Linked DNA regions of Saccharomyces cerevisiae S288C. The protein of the gene in region 1 binds, or shares a complex with, the protein of each later gene. Each region holds a gene or a part of one and is shown in the gene's direction. Other genes may lie near its edges. The genes, in order: RSC58, RSC4, RSC2 and RSC8.

Region 1 (3,588 bases):
CCTGGCGGCAAATTAATTACTGGAAGACCTTTGTATCAACGCCTTTTGAGAGTAAAAATTACAAACAAGCATTTGATGTGGTGAATGCAATTCTGGAACCCGTATTGTTAAGAAGGACAAAACAAATGAAAGATAAAGATGGTAAGCCATTAGTAGAGTTGCCACCAAAGGAGGTCGTTATTAAAAGACTTCCCTTCAGTAAATCTCAAGATCTTCTATACAAGTTTCTGTTGGATAAGGCTGAAGTTTCTGTTAAATCGGGTATTGCACGCGGTGATTTATTGAAAAAGTACTCCACTATCCTTGTCCATATTTTAAGATTGAGGCAAGTCTGTTGCCATCCCGGTCTTATTGGGAGTCAAGATGAGAACGATGAGGATTTATCTAAAAATAATAAATTGGTTACGGAACAAACGGTGGAGCTTGACTCTTTAATGCGTGTTGTTTCCGAGAGATTCGATAACTCATTTTCTAAGGAGGAATTAGATGCAATGATACAAAGATTAAAAGTTAAATATCCAGACAATAAATCGTTTCAGTCCTTAGAGTGCTCCATCTGCACAACGGAACCTATGGATTTGGACAAGGCTTTATTTACAGAATGCGGCCACAGTTTTTGTGAGAAATGTTTATTTGAATATATTGAGTTTCAGAACAGTAAGAATTTGGGTTTAAAGTGCCCCAATTGCCGTAACCAAATAGACGCTTGTCGGTTGTTGGCATTGGTACAAACGAATAGCAACTCGAAAAATTTGGAATTCAAACCATATTCACCAGCCTCCAAATCAAGCAAAATCACTGCTTTATTGAAGGAGCTTCAATTGCTACAGGATAGTTCGGCAGGCGAACAAGTTGTCATTTTTTCCCAATTTTCTACATACTTGGATATCCTGGAGAAAGAGCTAACTCATACTTTCTCAAAAGATGTTGCAAAAATTTATAAATTCGATGGACGTCTCTCATTAAAAGAAAGAACTAGTGTATTAGCAGATTTTGCCGTTAAAGACTATAGCAGGCAAAAAATCCTATTACTCTCGCTGAAGGCTGGTGGCGTGGGTTTGAATCTAACGTGTGCTTCCCACGCTTATATGATGGACCCATGGTGGTCGCCCAGTATGGAAGATCAGGCAATCGATAGACTGCATAGAATTGGCCAGACAAACAGCGTCAAAGTTATGAGATTTATCATACAAGATAGCATAGAAGAAAAAATGCTACGCATTCAAGAAAAGAAGAGAACCATCGGTGAGGCCATGGACACAGACGAAGACGAGAGAAGAAAAAGGAGAATTGAAGAAATCCAGATGCTGTTTGAATAGTCATACCACATACTCATATATAAAGACTTTATTTATTATTATTTTCAACCCGAAAGAACTAATTATTCTTCAGCTACTTCATGCAACTTCTATTATCTTCCTTTTCCGTTACCCGTATTTTTAAGTTGCAATTATTAAAAAAACAATTAAGAAAATAAAACAGCGCCATAAGGCATGGACGATAGAAATACGAAGACGAAGAAAATCATCATCAGTCGGGATCAAATAAGAGATAATTTTGAAAATCGAAAGTTTTCATTATGACAGAAAGTGTAGGTGGAAATAAACTAGTAGATTTTTTGGTAAATGTTCAATCCATTTTGAATGCTGCCTCTGTGAAATGTCATGTAGTAGATGAAAGTTTTCCAGCCAAGTTCTTTGAGAAAAATCCGGATAAGATATATGAATCATATTGTAAATTCATTAAAAATAGAAGTAACTCTGAAGGTTTGATACGTAATGAAGATAAATTAGTTTTGACAACTATCAATAAGAGGTTTGAAAATGGAGAGTACGAACCCATACAAGGTGGGTTTTATAAGCTGTATCACGACATTAAGCTGGTTTGTACAATCCTCATTCACTTTTATCCTCAGGGTACAAGAAACTACCAATTAGTCGACAAGTTCTACAAATTTTCTTCAGAGCTTTTATTACGAGAATGTTGTAGGATAGGAATTGCTCTAACGCAAACTAATAATATTAAATCAAGAAGTGGTAAGTTGTTGAGCGGAAACGAGATGGATGAATACGACGATGACGATGCAACAGAACTAGACAAAATAATCTCTTATGATTTTATTAAGATTTCTATGAATTACACAGTGCCGATTTCTCAAACATATCAGATAAGAACGAAGGATATGGACCTTTTTTCTTCGATAATTTCTAAATCTAATCTTGACAAAAGACCTCATGAACTTCCTAATACAAACTTCAAAATAAACAACGTCTTACCTCAAACTGATATAGAAAACGAAGCTCCAAGATTAGGATTTGTAGGCGCTAATACTAGTAATATTCCGGACCCTACGTTACCACCAACTGAAATGATGACTAGATTTTTGCATCCAAATTGGTATGCTTTACCTACAACCGTCTGGCTAAAATATGGTAATTATAATTCTTGGGCACCTTCCTTTAATGAAAACGGCACCGTTGTGGATTCGACAACAAGGGGTCTTATTTGGCTTGAAAGAATTGGTTATATGGACTTGTATGAAAAAAATGAAAAGAAAGTAAAACAAGAAGAATTACTGAACACGAATGAAGAAGGCATAAACAGGAAGCAGAACGATGAAAACAACAAAAATGTTGACGGCAAAAGCAATGGCGTTCAGGACGATGGTGGTGATAATGATAATGATGCGACTATCGCTTCTGCAAATTCAGAGAGTACTGAGAATAAGGAACAATTCATAATCAAGCTTCAAAACTTATATAATTGGACACCATCTAATTACATTGGAGATGACGAAATTGAGAACTTTCGAAATGGCACACCAGATAAGTTGGTTTCAGACTCTCTCTTAAAACTTAAAAGACTTAGAAAGGAGAGGATTTTAAATAAAGTTTTGAAGCCTACTACGGAGGAACGAGAATTATACTTCAAAGTGAAAAGAATACTAAAGGAGGTTATCTTAGCAAAGAAGGTTTCCAAGGTTCCTATAAACAATGTAAGGGCCTTTCCAGTATTACAAACAAACTATAATGGTAGCATACCTGTGGTAAGGGCGCAACCAGGTCGTAAACGGAAACACAAGAAATAAATAGTGTCAGCGGTAGTGGAATCAAAGATAAATAATGAATTATCTTTGTTTTAGTTTCATGAAAGCTCATCAAGTCTTTTTTGACTAATGTATGTTTATATTTTGATATTAGATAAAGTATGCATTTGTTCTGAAGGCTATGCATACGTAAGTATATACTTGGGTTGTATTATGCAGAATAAAGAAATGAGAGAAAACAAGAATCGAGAGAAAACGACACACTTGACAATAAATAGGTTCCATTAAAAATGGATGTCGGCACCTAAGAGATAGGAAATCACCAAATAGCAATTCAAGCTCCCGATTAAAGCCCATACGAAAACAGAGGTATAGGTCAACAAACGACTGTTAGTAAAATCAACTATTTTACTGTGCTTGGAGTTCAATGGAGTGGTTTCATCAGCAATGGCGTTAACATCGGCAGGTGCTCTTACCACACCATTTTCGTCATGAACAACCATCAACTTTCTATTTGCGGTAAAATAAATTAAAGGAGCGGA
Region 2 (4,038 bases), on another chromosome or scaffold:
TTTGGTGACGCGTAATTATCAGAAAATGGGTGGATAGCATTTGGCTCAGCTTCTTTATAAGCGAGTTTAGGATCGTTGGCAGATGGCAAAATTTTTTCCTTAATATACCTTTTAAACTGCAAGGGTGTGCTTAAAGTGGTCAGTTCATAATCAGGAATTAGATAGCCAGATTTAGATTGCAAAAATTTGGTGAACTGAAATTTAGCTACCAAATCAGAGAATTGGACGTCCTGGTCTACTTTGCCCAATGTTTTTTCCGTTGCCTGCAATATCATATCATCTAACTGATTATCAGACGTAATCTTATCCCTGGATAACCACTGATTGAATGGCGCAGAGGAGACCGCAAGCTTCAACTCCTTCTGTCTCTTACACCGTCTAGACCCTTCGCCAATAAAATTTTCTGGTATTAGCTCCAATCTGTTTTTGTTATTGGAAGAGGATTGAGAGGAAGCCTCGTTAGTGCCTTCTTCAATATCCTTTATCAACTGTTTGGTGTCCTTGACAGGCTCTTGGTGCTCTTCTTGCTTCTTCCTCTTGAACCATGACATAAAGTCCCCGTTTGCAGCGGAACTGTGAATACATCTGGCTTTCTGCTTGTAGCCAGAGAGCCAGACCGACCTTTGCGGCAATGGTCTAATACAATGTAATTTAAGCAGTGACGACATCCTCATACTATGTCCGCCTTTCCGTCTACCCATTATTCACTTCAGGACTGATGATCAGGCATGCAGTTAATTTGACAGAAGTCGTTGTTTCACTATAAATTTGTCAGCTACCCGCCTCACCAGCAGCGATAAAGAACGAAGAATAAAAGAGAGCATTCACAGAGTACGAATCCAGTATAGCGGTAGTGGATACAACGACAGATTTAAGTCGTAAAAATGGGAGCCGTACTCAGCTGTTGTAGAAACCATTCCGGCGAAGAGAATGAAGCTTTGCTGAGGGAACAGCAGGCAGGCTATGGAAGTCAAGGAAACGCAAATGACGAATACGATGCCGAACAAATGCGGTTGAAGGAACACGAACACGAACAGAAACTGCTGGCCAGGGAACAAGAGTTAAGAGACATTGTTGCAAACACCAACGATAAACTAATAGACATATCGATGATAAACAATAGTGGCATTGTAATTCAAGGGACAGACCTGCAAGAAGCTCTTGATAAAAGACAACAGGAAGAAGGTGGAGATTCCCGGGAAGACGAAAGGAGTGCAGGTGATGACAACCTCAGTGGGCACTCAGTGCCTTCAAGCGGATCCGCACAGGCAACTACTCACCAAACTGCACCAAGGACTAATACGTTTACTCTGCTTACATCACCGGATTCAGCGAAAATATCAAAGGAACAGTTAAAGAAGTTGCACTCTAATATACTAAATGAAATTTTCAGCCAGTCCCAGGTAAACAAACCAGGCCCCTTGACGGTTCCCTTTTAATGAACTTTTTGTATAACATCATTGGTATACAAGCTTTATAAATAAATGTTAAATAGTTAATGAAATAAAAAATCACATTTGACGAATTCGGAAGACAAGTAGCCCAAGAAAAAAAACAACAAAAGCATGCTAGAGGATGATGTTTAAAACGACCCTCAGCCTGTTATTACAATAGAGAGCAAACCAAAGAATAATAGATAAAGTACACAGATATGGTAGTTAAGAAGCGTAAGTTGGCAACTGAGGCCGGTGGCAGTGATGAAAGGCCTAAATACTTGCCGGGAAAACATCCTAAAAACCAAGAGAAAACTCCGCATGTGGATTATAACGCCCCATTAAACCCTAAATCTGAACTTTTTCTAGATGACTGGCATATACCTAAATTTAATCGATTTATTAGTTTCACTTTGGATGTTCTTATCGACAAATACAAAGATATTTTCAAAGATTTCATCAAACTACCAAGTAGGAAGTTTCATCCACAGTATTATTACAAGATCCAGCAGCCAATGTCTATTAATGAAATCAAGTCAAGAGATTATGAATACGAAGATGGTCCAAGTAATTTTCTTTTGGATGTTGAGCTACTGACAAAGAATTGTCAAGCTTACAATGAATATGACAGTTTGATTGTAAAAAACTCCATGCAAGTAGTAATGTTGATTGAATTTGAAGTATTGAAGGCAAAAAATTTGAAAAGAAATTACTTAATTAACAGCGAGGTCAAAGCCAAATTACTGCACTATCTTAATAAGCTAGTTGACGCCACGGAAAAGAAAATCAACCAGGCTCTGCTGGGTGCGTCATCTCCTAAAAACTTAGACGACAAAGTCAAGCTAAGTGAACCGTTTATGGAATTAGTCGATAAAGATGAACTTCCTGAATATTATGAAATAGTGCATAGCCCCATGGCTTTATCGATCGTAAAGCAGAACCTCGAAATTGGTCAGTATTCCAAGATATATGATTTCATCATTGATATGCTTTTAGTTTTTCAGAATGCTCATATATTCAATGATCCAAGCGCTTTGATTTACAAAGACGCAACAACTTTAACAAATTATTTTAACTACTTAATACAAAAGGAATTCTTCCCAGAGTTACAGGATTTAAATGAACGTGGCGAAATTAATTTAGAATTTGACAAATTCGAATTCGAAAACTACTTAGCTATTGGTGGTGGTGGTCCAGCCGCAGCAGGTGCGTTAGCTATATCTGCTCTTGATAATGATATTGAGCCAGAATCTAACCGTGAAGATCTTATTGATCAAGCAGATTATGATTTCAATCATTTCGAAGGTCTCGGCAATGGTTATAATCGTTCTCTCCTAACTGAAGATTATTTACTGAACCCAAACAACTTCAAAAAGTTAATAGCCAAACCGGAAACAGTGCAATCCGAAGTCAAAAATGAAAGATCAACGACATCTGATATTGAGAAGACAAACTCCTTAGAGAGCGAACATTTAAAAATCCCCAAATACAATGTTATAAAATCCATGCAAAAAGAAATGCAATCACTCTCAGAGCAACACACCATGGAGTATAAGCCCTATAAATTAATACAACAAATTTACATTTTTTCTTCTAAAAATTTGTATTCGCAGGCAACTAAGCCTTTACTGGGTTCAAGGCCATCATGCAATCAAAATTGGGTAGAGTATATTTTCAATGGTAATGAATTGAGTCAAAATGAAAACGCTTTCTCCTTCATGTTACAACCCATGCAAACTTTTTTAACATTACAGTCTCATTTGACCTCATCATTAAAGGATACAGAGACTTTATTAACCATTAATAAAGAGCCAGTGAAGTCTAGAACTTCAAATGTAAACAGTAACCTTTCCCAACCTCAGCAACAAGAAAATGATGTTATTGGAAACGATACGAAGCAAGATATAGAAAATTTGACAATCGGCGGCGGCAACAATAACGATATTGTTGGTAACGATAATGATAAACGTAATAATATAACCGAAATCTTTGATATTCGCTTATCAGAAGGTTTAAATCATTTGATGTTTAGGTGTGAGGACAAAATATCTCATGAAACGGAATTCATGAATTTCTGGATAAATGTCTTACCATGATGACTATCTCTCTCTTCATAGTCTTCCCATCATATGCATGTATCTATATACAACCTATATACACTTTGTAATATTATCCATCCTCTTCCTCTATATAGATTAAAACTGTTAATATTACACATGACAAAAAAGTTGCGTCCGTAAAGAAAAAGTACTTAAAATGGGTAGGTTAGTTATGTAGGGAAAGATGTATGTAAGGATATGGCTTAACAAAGCTGTTAAATGAAAAGAATATAATCGCTATTTTTTATATTATTCAAATCTTTTTTTGTATTATAGTTTAGATTTTGCCTGCGATAGTTTTACAGCGGCGTTATCCAATACAATGACGTTTCTGGTCGTATCAATTGTTTGAAAAACGACAACCGAGCCTTGCTTCCAAGCTTTAACCTTTAGAGTATCACCTGGGAAAACAACATTGGTAAATCTCACTTTCAACTCCTCATATGGACCATAATGTTCAAACAATGCTTTCGCACTAATACCTAATGTACAAAGCCCATGCAGAA
Region 3 (5,127 bases), 630 kb from region 1:
GTGTAAAAGCCATTGAGTCAAGTTAGGTCATCCCTTTTATACAAAATTTTTCAATTTTTTTTCCAAGATTCTTGTACGATTAATTATTTTTTTTTTGCGTCCTACAGCGTGATGAAAATTTCGCCTGCTGCAAGATGAGCGGGAACGGGCGAAATGTGCACGCGCACAACTTACGAAACGCGGATGAGTCACTGACAGCCACCGCAGAGGTTCTGACTCCTACTGAGCTCTATTGGAGGTGGCAGAACCGGTACCGGAGGAGACCGCTATAACCGGTTTGAATTTATTGTCACAGTGTCACATCAGCGGCAACTCAGAAGTTTGACAGCAAGCAAGTTCATCATTCGAACTAGCCTTATTGTTTTAGTTCAGTGACAGCGAACTGCCGTACTCGATGCTTTATTTCTCACGGTAGAGCGGAAGAACAGATAGGGGCAGCGTGAGAAGAGTTAGAAAGTAAATTTTTATCACGTCTGAAGTATTCTTATTCATAGGAAATTTTGCAAGGTTTTTTAGCTCAATAACGGGCTAAGTTATATAAGGTGTTCACGCGATTTTCTTGTTATGTATACCTCTTCTCTGAGGAATGGTACTACTGTCCTGATGTAGGCTCCTTAAATTGGTGGGCAAGAATAACTTATCGATATTTTGTATATTGGTCTTGGAGTTCACCACGTAATGCCTGTTTAAGACCATCAGTTAACTCTAGTATTATTTGGTCTTGGCTACTGGCCGTTTGCTATTATTCAAGTCTTTTGTGCCTTCCCGTCGGGTAAGGGAGTTATTTAGGGATACAGAATCTAACGAAAACTAAATCTCAATGATTAACTCCATTTAATCCTTTTTTGAAAGGCAAAAGAGGTCCCTTGTTCACTTACAACGTTCTTAGCCAAATTCGCTTATCACTTACTACTTCACGATATACAGAAGTAAAAACATATAAAAAGATGTCTGTTTGTTTAGCCATCACAAAAGGTATCGCAGTTTCTTCTATAGGCCTCTACTCTGGTCTTTTGGCTTCCGCTTCATTGATTACATCTACTACTCCACTAGAGGTTTTAACAGGATCCCTTACTCCCACTTTAACCACTTTGAAAAATGCGGCCACCGCCTTGGGAGCGTTTGCGTCAACTTTCTTTTGTGTGAGCTTTTTCGGCGCTCCTCCCTCATTGAGACACCCCTACTTACTCTATGGTATGCTTGTAGCTCCATTATCTTCATTTGTTCTAGGATGTGCCTCCAACTATCAGTCTAGAAAGTACAGTAAAGTCTCTAAGGAATCTTCTTTATTTCCCGAAGACAGCAAACTCGCTGCTTCCGAACTGAGCGATTCTATTATTGATTTAGGTGAAGACAACCATGCTTCAGAAAATACACCTCGAGACGGGAAGCCTGCAGCAACCACAGTATCAAAGCCGGCAGAGGCATTGCACACCGGTCCCCCAATCCATACTAAAAATCTAATTGCAGCAACTGCTATTGCTATTGTTGGCTTTGTACAAGCCGTTATTGGCGTTTATGGGGAAGGACAATTTATCTAGTGTTTCTCGTTCACGTATTTATCTCTACAAGAATTTGTAGCTGCCTGAACTCGGCTCCTCTCTCTCTCCAAAAATAAAGTGTGTAGTAATTTGCAGTTTTTTTATATATTCCTACGAGTTTTCAAACGTTCAAAAGACAGTATGTTCAAAAATTGTGCATACACACACGTATGCACATATATACATAATAATACACTGTAATAAGCACATTTGTAGGTGCTCTTGCACTTGGTTTATTACTGTCACTGACTTTTCTCACCCGGCCGAGAGTCGTGCGAAAATTCGCATGTTAAAGTGAGAAAATAGAGAAAACAACACAGCTGAAAAAAGTATTGGTAACAGTTCAATACGTGATCAAATATACAGCACGTCGCGCAGAACCAGACGAAGCGGAGAATATTCTACATTGACAGTGCATGATGCCTGATGACAATTCAAACTCGTCCACTCAAAACTCAAGCGCATTATACAAGGACCTGAGGAAAGAATATGAATCTCTTTTCACTTTAAAGGAAGATTCTGGGTTAGAGATTTCACCAATATTCAATGTCCTTCCACCTAAAAAGGATTATCCTGACTACTACGCAGTGATCAAGAACCCTGTATCTTTCAATACTTTAAAAAAGCGTATTCCACATTATACAGATGCTCAACAGTTTATGAACGATGTTGTCCAGATTCCATGGAATGCCAAGACTTACAATACAAGAGATTCAGGAATTTATAAATACGCCTTAGTCCTTGAGAAATATTTAAAGGACACAATCTATCCAAATTTAAAAGAAAAATATCCTCAATTAGTGTATCCTGATTTGGGTCCTCTACCCGATGAACCAGGTTATGAAGAGTTTCAACAGAAATTAAGAGAAAAAGCTGAGGAAGTAGCGAGAGCTAATGCAGCCAGAGCCGAGTCGAGCTCTTCAATGAATTCAACAGAAGCAGCCAGAAGATTAAGAAAGACTCGTACTTCCGTCAAAAGAGAATCAGAACCAGGAACCGATACAAATAATGATGAGGACTATGAGGCGACGGATATGGATATCGATAACCCTAAGGATGCTGATTTTCCTGATTTGATAAGAAAGCCACTAATAAATATTAATCCATATACTCGGAAACCATTAAGAGACAACAGGTCCACTACTCCATCTCACTCAGGCACCCCTCAGCCGTTAGGCCCAAGGCATAGACAGGTATCCAGAACTCAGGTAAAGCGTGGGAGACCCCCAATCATCGACTTACCGTATATTCAAAGAATGAAAAATGTTATGAAAGTACTAAAAAAAGAGGTGCTAGATAGTGGAATTGGTCTAACTGATCTTTTTGAAAGATTGCCCGATAGACACAGAGATGCAAATTACTACATCATGATTGCTAATCCAATTAGTCTTCAAGACATAAATAAAAAGGTAAAGACTCGTCGTTATAAAACGTTCCAGGAGTTCCAGAATGATTTTAATCTTATGTTAACCAACTTTAGAATTTCGCACAGAGGTGATCCTGAAAGCATAAAAATTTCAAATATCTTAGAAAAGACCTTTACTAGTCTGGCAAGATTCGAACTATCCAAACCTGATAGAAGTTTCATTCCAGAAGGCGAGCTAAGATACCCTCTAGATGAAGTCATTGTAAATAATATATCATACCACGTGGGAGATTGGGCACTTCTTCGAAATCAAAATGATCCTCAAAAACCTATAGTGGGCCAAATATTCAGGCTATGGAAGACACCAGATGGGAAACAATGGTTAAACGCTTGTTGGTATTACAGACCCGAACAAACTGTGCATAGAGTGGATAGATTGTTTTACAAAAACGAAGTTATGAAAACAGGTCAGTACCGTGATCATTTAGTGTCAAACTTAGTTGGGAAATGCTATGTGATTCACTTTACTAGATATCAACGTGGTAATCCCGATATGAAATTGGAGGGTCCCTTGTTCGTTTGCGAATTCCGTTATAATGAATCCGATAAAATTTTTAACAAGATTAGAACCTGGAAGGCTTGCTTACCAGAGGAAATTCGTGATTTGGACGAAGCTACCATTCCGGTAAATGGTAGAAAGTTCTTCAAATATCCTTCCCCCATAAGACATCTACTACCAGCTAATGCAACGCCGCATGATCGCGTTCCTGAACCAACGATGGGATCCCCGGACGCGCCACCATTGGTCGGTGCCGTTTATATGAGACCTAAAATGCAGCGTGACGATTTGGGGGAATATGCAACCTCTGATGACTGTCCCAGGTATATTATCAGACCCAACGATTCTCCCGAAGAGGGACAAGTGGATATAGAAACAGGTACGATCACCACAAACACGCCAACAGCAAATGCTCTTCCTAAAACAGGATACTCAAGTAGTAAACTATCCAGTTTAAGATATAACAGGTCATCTATGTCTTTAGAAAACCAAAATGCTATTGGCCAGCAACAAATACCACTGTCAAGAGTTGGTTCCCCTGGCGCGGGAGGCCCGCTTACTGTACAAGGTTTAAAGCAACACCAATTGCAAAGGTTACAACAGCAGCAACATCAATACCAACAACAGAAAAGATCCCAAGCATCACGTTATAATATCCCAACAATAATCGATGATTTAACATCGCAGGCATCAAGAGGTAATTTGGGTAATATAATGATCGATGCAGCCTCCTCGTTTGTCTTACCTATCTCTATAACCAAAAACGTAGATGTTTTGCAGCGTACTGATCTGCACAGCCAAACCAAGAGATCTGGAAGAGAAGAGATGTTTCCATGGAAAAAAACAAAGGGTGAAATATTATGGTTCAGAGGACCTAGTGTGATAGTAAATGAACGAATAATAAATTCAGGTGACCCACACCTAAGCCTGCCACTGAATAGGTGGTTTACCACTAACAAGAAAAGAAAACTAGAATACGAAGAAGTTGAAGAAACCATGGAAGATGTGACTGGAAAGGACAAAGATGATGATGGCTTAGAACCGGATGTTGAAAATGAGAAAGAGTCCTTGCCAGGCCCATTTGTCCTTGGATTAAGACCCTCGGCTAAGTTCACGGCGCACAGACTCTCTATGCTGCGGCCTCCTTCGTCGTCTTCATGATCACCTTTATTGTAAAAGCAATGGCAGCATAATATCTTCCCATTGCGCATTACCCTCCGCGAGCAGAGTCAAACTTCAAACAAAGCAGGAAAATGAAATAAAACAGAAGTTATTATATAGAAGAAAGTCATCTATAGATATATTATCGTTGTATTAATAGTAGCCATATAAAACAATTATACTTCATCACCAACCTCTCAAAATTTCTTCCCCAAGGACCAAAGCTTTTCCAGTAAGTTGCTACAACTAAAGTGAAATAAACTATCCGAATTATATAAAAGATGCCTGACTATGACAATTACACTACGCCATTGTCTTCTAGATATGCCTCCAAGGAAATGTCAGCAACGTTTTCTTTGAGAAACAGATTTTCCACATGGAGAAAACTATGGTTAAATTTGGCTATTGCTGAGAAGGAATTGGGCTTAACTGTTGTTACAGATGAAGCAATTGAGCAAATGCGCAAACACGTCGAAATCACTGATGATGAAATCGCAAAA
Region 4 (3,920 bases), on another chromosome or scaffold:
GAAACGTGGCCGATGTATTCATCGTTCAATGTGAAAAAATCCTTGATTAATTCTTTGAACATGGTTTTTTTCAACTTTCCATTCAATCCAGCCTTATAGAATTTTTCCTGTGCAGACGTCATCGGACAATTTATGATATATTCTCTCTTTGGCGGCAGAATATTAGCCAAAACAACTTTTTTCAATCTTCTCAAAAGGAATGGTTTCAGAATTGTGTGTAAATTGGAAATCAAATTTTTCTGTAGTTCATCGTTGATTAACTTATTCAATGCTTCAGAGTTGGAACCGGAGCCTAAATTTAAGCTGTCGAAGTCAAACCATTTATTGAATATCTCGAAATCGGCAAAGATATCGGGCATTATGAAATTCAAAAGTGACCATAATTCAGCTAGGTTATTTTGTAAAGGCGTCCCTGTTAGTAGCAGTCTATTGGAAGTATTGATTTTTTTTAACTCTTTAATCAATCTACAGTTTATATTTTTCAGACGGTGGCCTTCATCAACAATTAAAAATTTCCAATTTTGACTCATGATTAAGTCGGTATCTCTTAAAATAATTTCATATGATGTGATGACGATCCCCGTGCCGCCGTGTTGTTTAAAGAAATTTTTCAACTTGGCAGAACGTTCCTTATAACCATTGGTCCCATAATATTTTAGAACTGGTAGATCAGGAGCGAATTTTGCAAATTCGTTCATCCAATTATCTAGGGTGCTTAATGGTGCAGTCACTAGAAAAGGACCCTTTGTGTCCATTTCATATATGAACGCCAAAAGAGCAATACTTTGAACAGTCTTACCAAGACCCATTTCATCGGCAAGAATTCCGTTCAGGCCATTTTCATAAAGAGTGATCAGCCAGTTAAGACCTTCTAGTTGGTAAGGTTTTAAAATACAGTTTTTCAATAGGCGAGGTTGCTTTATTGCTGCATCGTCTGGTGCGCCGTTTTGGGTGGTTGTATCTTCGTTCTTTTTCTGTTTTTTGAAGAAATCTGTTATTGATTTTTTTTTTGTTTTACGTTTTTTTGAAGAATGTTCTTCATCATCAGAGTTGCTGTTATCTTTTGTATTAGCGTTAGCCACTTCATTAGATCGATGTAGTAAAGTATCGGCGATTATACTGGAATATACCTGACTCTGCCTCACAAACTCGTTTAGTTTCTTAAGTTTTAAAGAAACCGTCTTGGTATCCATCTCGGAGAGCTCATCATCCAAGGATTTTTGCTCTGATTTCGTGTCTTTTGCCAATTTATCCACCACTTGGGCTTGAACAGCTTCTGTATCGGAATCGTCCTCTGAGTCCAGCTGAATATCTTCGTCTGAATGCACATCATCTTGTAACCATATGGGGGCAGTGTCATTGTCGCCTTTGCCATGTTTATTGTCCTCTGAATCCAAATCTGAATCTGAATCTGAAATGTCAGCCGTTAGGTCATTGACTTCCTTCTCCCGGTAATTGACGCCATTGCTCATGTTTCTCGTCCTTGCAGCCACCCTGGCCCCAACAGCATCCTCAACAACAGTCATCAGCGCCGCGTTTGAGCATCTGCTCATCTCATCGCCAAATTTGATACTTCCTTAATCCGTTACTCTTTTCTATGATAATTTAATTACGGCGTTCTCTTTGTCACCCGCTTGATGTAAAAAAGTTGGAAAAAATAAGTTTCATCAACATTGAATTAGTTCGTGAGGTTTATAGAGAGAAGGGTAGAGCAGAGAAGCAAAGAGTAGATAGAAGGCCAGGATAATGAGCGACACTGAAAAGGATAAGGATGTCCCTATGGTAGACTCGCACGAAGCGACCGAGGAGCCACCCACCACAAGCACCAACACGCCATCTTTCCCTCACTTAGCACAGGAACAGGCGAAGGAGGAATCTGCCACATTGGGAGCAGAAGTAGCTCATAAGAAAATCAATTACGAGCAAGAAGCACAGAAACTGGAGGAGAAGGCCCTTAGGTTCCTGGCAAAGCAAACTCACCCGGTGATTATTCCGTCGTTTGCCTCTTGGTTTGATATTTCGAAGATCCACGAGATCGAAAAAAGATCCAATCCCGACTTTTTCAACGATTCATCAAGGTTCAAGACACCAAAGGCATATAAGGACACAAGAAATTTTATCATCAACACGTACCGTCTTTCGCCGTACGAATATTTGACCATTACCGCTGTGAGAAGAAATGTTGCCATGGATGTTGCCTCGATAGTGAAGATTCACGCGTTCTTGGAAAAATGGGGCTTAATCAATTATCAGATTGACCCCAGGACCAAGCCCAGTCTTATTGGGCCAAGTTTTACGGGCCACTTCCAAGTGGTTCTGGACACTCCGCAGGGGTTAAAGCCATTTTTACCAGAGAATGTGATCAAGCAAGAAGTGGAAGGAGGAGATGGAGCGGAACCACAAGTCAAGAAGGAATTTCCCGTTAATCTCACAATCAAGAAGAACGTTTACGATTCTGCACAAGACTTCAATGCATTACAAGACGAAAGTAGAAACTCCAGGCAGATTCACAAAGTTTACATTTGCCATACATGCGGTAACGAGTCAATCAATGTGCGCTACCACAATTTGCGTGCACGGGACACCAACCTGTGCTCCCGTTGTTTCCAAGAGGGTCATTTCGGTGCCAACTTTCAATCTTCAGATTTCATCAGATTAGAAAACAACGGAAACTCGGTTAAAAAAAACTGGTCAGACCAGGAGATGCTACTATTGCTGGAGGGTATTGAAATGTATGAAGACCAGTGGGAGAAGATTGCTGACCACGTGGGTGGGCACAAGCGTGTAGAAGACTGCATTGAAAAATTCCTAAGCTTACCGATCGAGGACAACTACATCCGAGAAGTTGTTGGTTCAACGCTGAATGGTAAGGGTGGCGACAGCCGCGATGGTAGTGTGTCCGGTTCGAAGTTGATGGAATGCGTGAATGATGCTGTCCAGACGCTACTGCAAGGCGACGACAAATTGGGTAAGGTCTCTGATAAGTCGAGAGAGATCTCCGAAAAGTACATTGAAGAAAGCCAAGCGATAATCCAAGAGTTAGTCAAGCTGACCATGGAGAAATTAGAGAGCAAGTTTACAAAGCTGTGCGATCTAGAAACGCAACTGGAGATGGAAAAACTGAAATATGTGAAGGAATCTGAAAAGATGCTGAACGACCGATTATCACTGAGTAAACAGATTCTTGACCTGAACAAGTCGCTGGAGGAGTTGAATGTGTCGAAGAAACTGGTACTGATCTCGGAGCAAGTAGACTCGGGCATACAACTAGTGGAGAAGGACCAGGAGGGCGATGACGAAGACGGCAATACGGCCACAGGACATGGCGTGAAACGTGTAGGCAAGGAAGGCGAGGAAGTAGGCGAAGGCGACTCCATTGCAAAATTGCAGCCCCAGGTGTACAAACCGTGGTCATTGTAAAAAAATATATAAGAAAAAAAAAAAAAAAAAAAAAGAGAGCCTACAAAGTGTACTATTGTCATATTTTATATTTCTAATACAACGTATATAAAACTAGAGAGAAGAAATTTTATAAGTGAAAGTGAATGTGGATGCGTGCGCGTGTGCGTGTGCGTGTGCGTATGCGGATATGCTATTATTCCTCGCGGATGTAGAAGGGGTTGTGGTTGTCGTTTGCATTGGACGTCTCGTGGGCGGTATTGCTGTCGGTGGACAGATGCAAGGAATTGAGGACTCTGGTGTGCGCTACCGAGGCTGCTTTGTCGTTGTAAGATGACATGTCGTCATCTTCATCGATATCGTTATCGTTATCGTTATTGTTGTCTTCGATATTCTGCGATGTGTCCTGAAAGTCTGTATTGGAGTGCAGCGATCCGCCATTTTTTCCTTGGAAGTATTTTGTCTTCTCGATATTCAGCTGCTGCTTGAGTTTCTGCTCGTTCAGGTCATCGATCAGAGAG

What was found.
Region 2: the proteins of RSC58 (region 1) and RSC4 are in contact, whole or in part, in a cryo-EM structure (PDB 6K15), measured with the Saccharomyces cerevisiae proteins. Residues at the interface, in NP_013133.1 of Saccharomyces cerevisiae: Ala169 (codon at 2,084), Thr170 (codon at 2,087), Glu171 (codon at 2,090), Leu172 (codon at 2,093), Ile175 (codon at 2,102), Ile176 (codon at 2,105), Asp179 (codon at 2,114), Phe180 (codon at 2,117), Ile181 (codon at 2,120), Lys182 (codon at 2,123), Ile183 (codon at 2,126), Ser184 (codon at 2,129), Met185 (codon at 2,132), Asn186 (codon at 2,135), Tyr187 (codon at 2,138), Thr188 (codon at 2,141), Val189 (codon at 2,144), Pro190 (codon at 2,147), Ile191 (codon at 2,150), Gln193 (codon at 2,156), Gln196 (codon at 2,165), Asp203 (codon at 2,186), Phe205 (codon at 2,192), Lys216 (codon at 2,225), Arg217 (codon at 2,228), Pro218 (codon at 2,231), His219 (codon at 2,234), Ile228 (codon at 2,261), Asn229 (codon at 2,264), Asn230 (codon at 2,267); in NP_012933.4 of Saccharomyces cerevisiae: Leu364 (codon at 2,741), Tyr377 (codon at 2,780), Leu379 (codon at 2,786), Asn380 (codon at 2,789), Asn382 (codon at 2,795), Lys385 (codon at 2,804), Ser429 (codon at 2,936), Met430 (codon at 2,939), Gln431 (codon at 2,942), Lys432 (codon at 2,945), Glu433 (codon at 2,948), Met434 (codon at 2,951), Gln435 (codon at 2,954), Ser436 (codon at 2,957), Leu437 (codon at 2,960), Ser438 (codon at 2,963), His441 (codon at 2,972), Met443 (codon at 2,978), Tyr445 (codon at 2,984), Lys446 (codon at 2,987), Asn478 (codon at 3,083), Trp481 (codon at 3,092), Glu483 (codon at 3,098), Tyr484 (codon at 3,101), Phe486 (codon at 3,107), Asn494 (codon at 3,131), Glu495 (codon at 3,134), Asn496 (codon at 3,137), Ala497 (codon at 3,140), Phe498 (codon at 3,143).
Region 3: the proteins of RSC58 (region 1) and RSC2 are in contact, whole or in part, in a cryo-EM structure (PDB 6K15), measured with the Saccharomyces cerevisiae proteins. Residues at the interface, in NP_013133.1 of Saccharomyces cerevisiae: Asp12 (codon at 1,613), Asn16 (codon at 1,625), Ser19 (codon at 1,634), Ile20 (codon at 1,637), Ala23 (codon at 1,646), Gln112 (codon at 1,913), Gly113 (codon at 1,916), Thr114 (codon at 1,919), Glu129 (codon at 1,964), Leu132 (codon at 1,973), Arg133 (codon at 1,976), Glu134 (codon at 1,979), Cys136 (codon at 1,985), Ile181 (codon at 2,120), Lys182 (codon at 2,123), Ile183 (codon at 2,126), Ser184 (codon at 2,129), Met185 (codon at 2,132), Asn186 (codon at 2,135), Tyr187 (codon at 2,138), Thr188 (codon at 2,141), Val189 (codon at 2,144), Ser192 (codon at 2,153), Thr194 (codon at 2,159), Tyr195 (codon at 2,162), Ile197 (codon at 2,168), Thr199 (codon at 2,174), Met202 (codon at 2,183), Leu204 (codon at 2,189), Phe205 (codon at 2,192); in NP_013461.1 of Saccharomyces cerevisiae: Ile741 (codon at 4,178), Met742 (codon at 4,181), Ala745 (codon at 4,190), Ser747 (codon at 4,196), Phe749 (codon at 4,202), Leu751 (codon at 4,208), Ile755 (codon at 4,220), Asn758 (codon at 4,229), Val759 (codon at 4,232), Asp760 (codon at 4,235), Val761 (codon at 4,238), Leu762 (codon at 4,241), Gln763 (codon at 4,244), Leu790 (codon at 4,325), Trp791 (codon at 4,328), Phe792 (codon at 4,331), Arg793 (codon at 4,334), Gly794 (codon at 4,337), Pro795 (codon at 4,340), Ser796 (codon at 4,343), Val797 (codon at 4,346), Ile798 (codon at 4,349), Val799 (codon at 4,352), Asn800 (codon at 4,355), Glu801 (codon at 4,358), Arg802 (codon at 4,361), Ile803 (codon at 4,364), Ile804 (codon at 4,367), Ser806 (codon at 4,373), His810 (codon at 4,385).
Region 4: the proteins of RSC58 (region 1) and RSC8 are in contact, whole or in part, in a cryo-EM structure (PDB 6V8O), measured with the Saccharomyces cerevisiae proteins. Residues at the interface, in NP_013133.1 of Saccharomyces cerevisiae: Arg137 (codon at 1,988), Asp167 (codon at 2,078), Leu172 (codon at 2,093), Asp173 (codon at 2,096), Ile176 (codon at 2,105), Ser177 (codon at 2,108), Tyr178 (codon at 2,111), Asp179 (codon at 2,114), Phe180 (codon at 2,117), Ile181 (codon at 2,120), Lys182 (codon at 2,123), Ile183 (codon at 2,126), Ser184 (codon at 2,129), Met185 (codon at 2,132), Asn186 (codon at 2,135), Tyr187 (codon at 2,138), Thr188 (codon at 2,141), Val189 (codon at 2,144), Pro190 (codon at 2,147), Ile191 (codon at 2,150), Leu232 (codon at 2,273), Pro233 (codon at 2,276), Thr235 (codon at 2,282), Asp236 (codon at 2,285), Ile237 (codon at 2,288), Glu238 (codon at 2,291), Glu240 (codon at 2,297), Ile387 (codon at 2,738), Ile388 (codon at 2,741), Lys389 (codon at 2,744); in NP_116695.3 of Saccharomyces cerevisiae: Thr229 (codon at 2,431), Asn233 (codon at 2,443), Val234 (codon at 2,446), Tyr235 (codon at 2,449), Asp236 (codon at 2,452), Gln239 (codon at 2,461), Phe241 (codon at 2,467), Ala243 (codon at 2,473), Glu247 (codon at 2,485), His255 (codon at 2,509), Tyr258 (codon at 2,518), Ile259 (codon at 2,521), His261 (codon at 2,527), Cys263 (codon at 2,533), Glu266 (codon at 2,542), Ser267 (codon at 2,545), Ile268 (codon at 2,548), Asn269 (codon at 2,551), Val270 (codon at 2,554), Arg271 (codon at 2,557), Tyr272 (codon at 2,560), His273 (codon at 2,563), Asn274 (codon at 2,566), Leu275 (codon at 2,569), Arg276 (codon at 2,572), Ala277 (codon at 2,575), Arg278 (codon at 2,578), Asp279 (codon at 2,581), Ser284 (codon at 2,596), Phe292 (codon at 2,620).

Annotation. Positions count from the first base shown.
Region 1 is NC_001144.5:207,182-210,769, forward strand, and holds RSC58 (Rsc58p), read left to right. Parts: upstream 1-1,579; coding exon 1,580-3,088; downstream 3,089-3,588. Other genes in the region: DNA helicase RAD5, read left to right, coding at 1-1,319; putative divalent metal ion transporter SMF3, read right to left, coding at 3,331-3,588. UniProt on the Saccharomyces cerevisiae protein: Component of the chromatin structure-remodeling complex (RSC), which is involved in transcription regulation and nucleosome positioning. RSC is responsible for the transfer of a histone octamer from a nucleosome core particle to naked DNA.
Region 2 is NC_001143.9:450,550-454,587, forward strand, and holds RSC4 (Rsc4p), read left to right. Parts: upstream 1-1,651; coding exon 1,652-3,529; downstream 3,530-4,038. Other genes in the region: mitochondrial 54S ribosomal protein mL50 MRPL13, read right to left, coding at 1-668; MEH1 (Meh1p), read left to right, coding at 885-1,439; bifunctional hydroxyacyl-CoA dehydrogenase/enoyl-CoA hydratase FOX2, read right to left, coding at 3,803-4,038. UniProt on the Saccharomyces cerevisiae protein: Component of the chromatin structure remodeling complex (RSC), which is involved in transcription regulation and nucleosome positioning. RSC is responsible for the transfer of a histone octamer from a nucleosome core particle to naked DNA.
Region 3 is NC_001144.5:839,374-844,500, forward strand, and holds RSC2 (Rsc2p), read left to right. Parts: upstream 1-1,957; coding exon 1,958-4,627; downstream 4,628-5,127. Other genes in the region: ATG33 (Atg33p), read left to right, coding at 948-1,541; YLR358C (uncharacterized protein), read right to left, coding at 4,114-4,677; adenylosuccinase ADE13, read left to right, coding at 4,909-5,127. UniProt on the Saccharomyces cerevisiae protein: Component of the chromatin structure remodeling complex (RSC), which is involved in transcription regulation and nucleosome positioning. RSC is responsible for the transfer of a histone octamer from a nucleosome core particle to naked DNA.
Region 4 is NC_001138.5:227,013-230,932, reverse strand, and holds RSC8 (Rsc8p), read left to right. Parts: upstream 1-1,746; coding exon 1,747-3,420; downstream 3,421-3,920. Other genes in the region: IRC5 (putative ATPase), read right to left, coding at 1-1,553; anaphase promoting complex subunit CDC26, read right to left, coding at 3,596-3,920.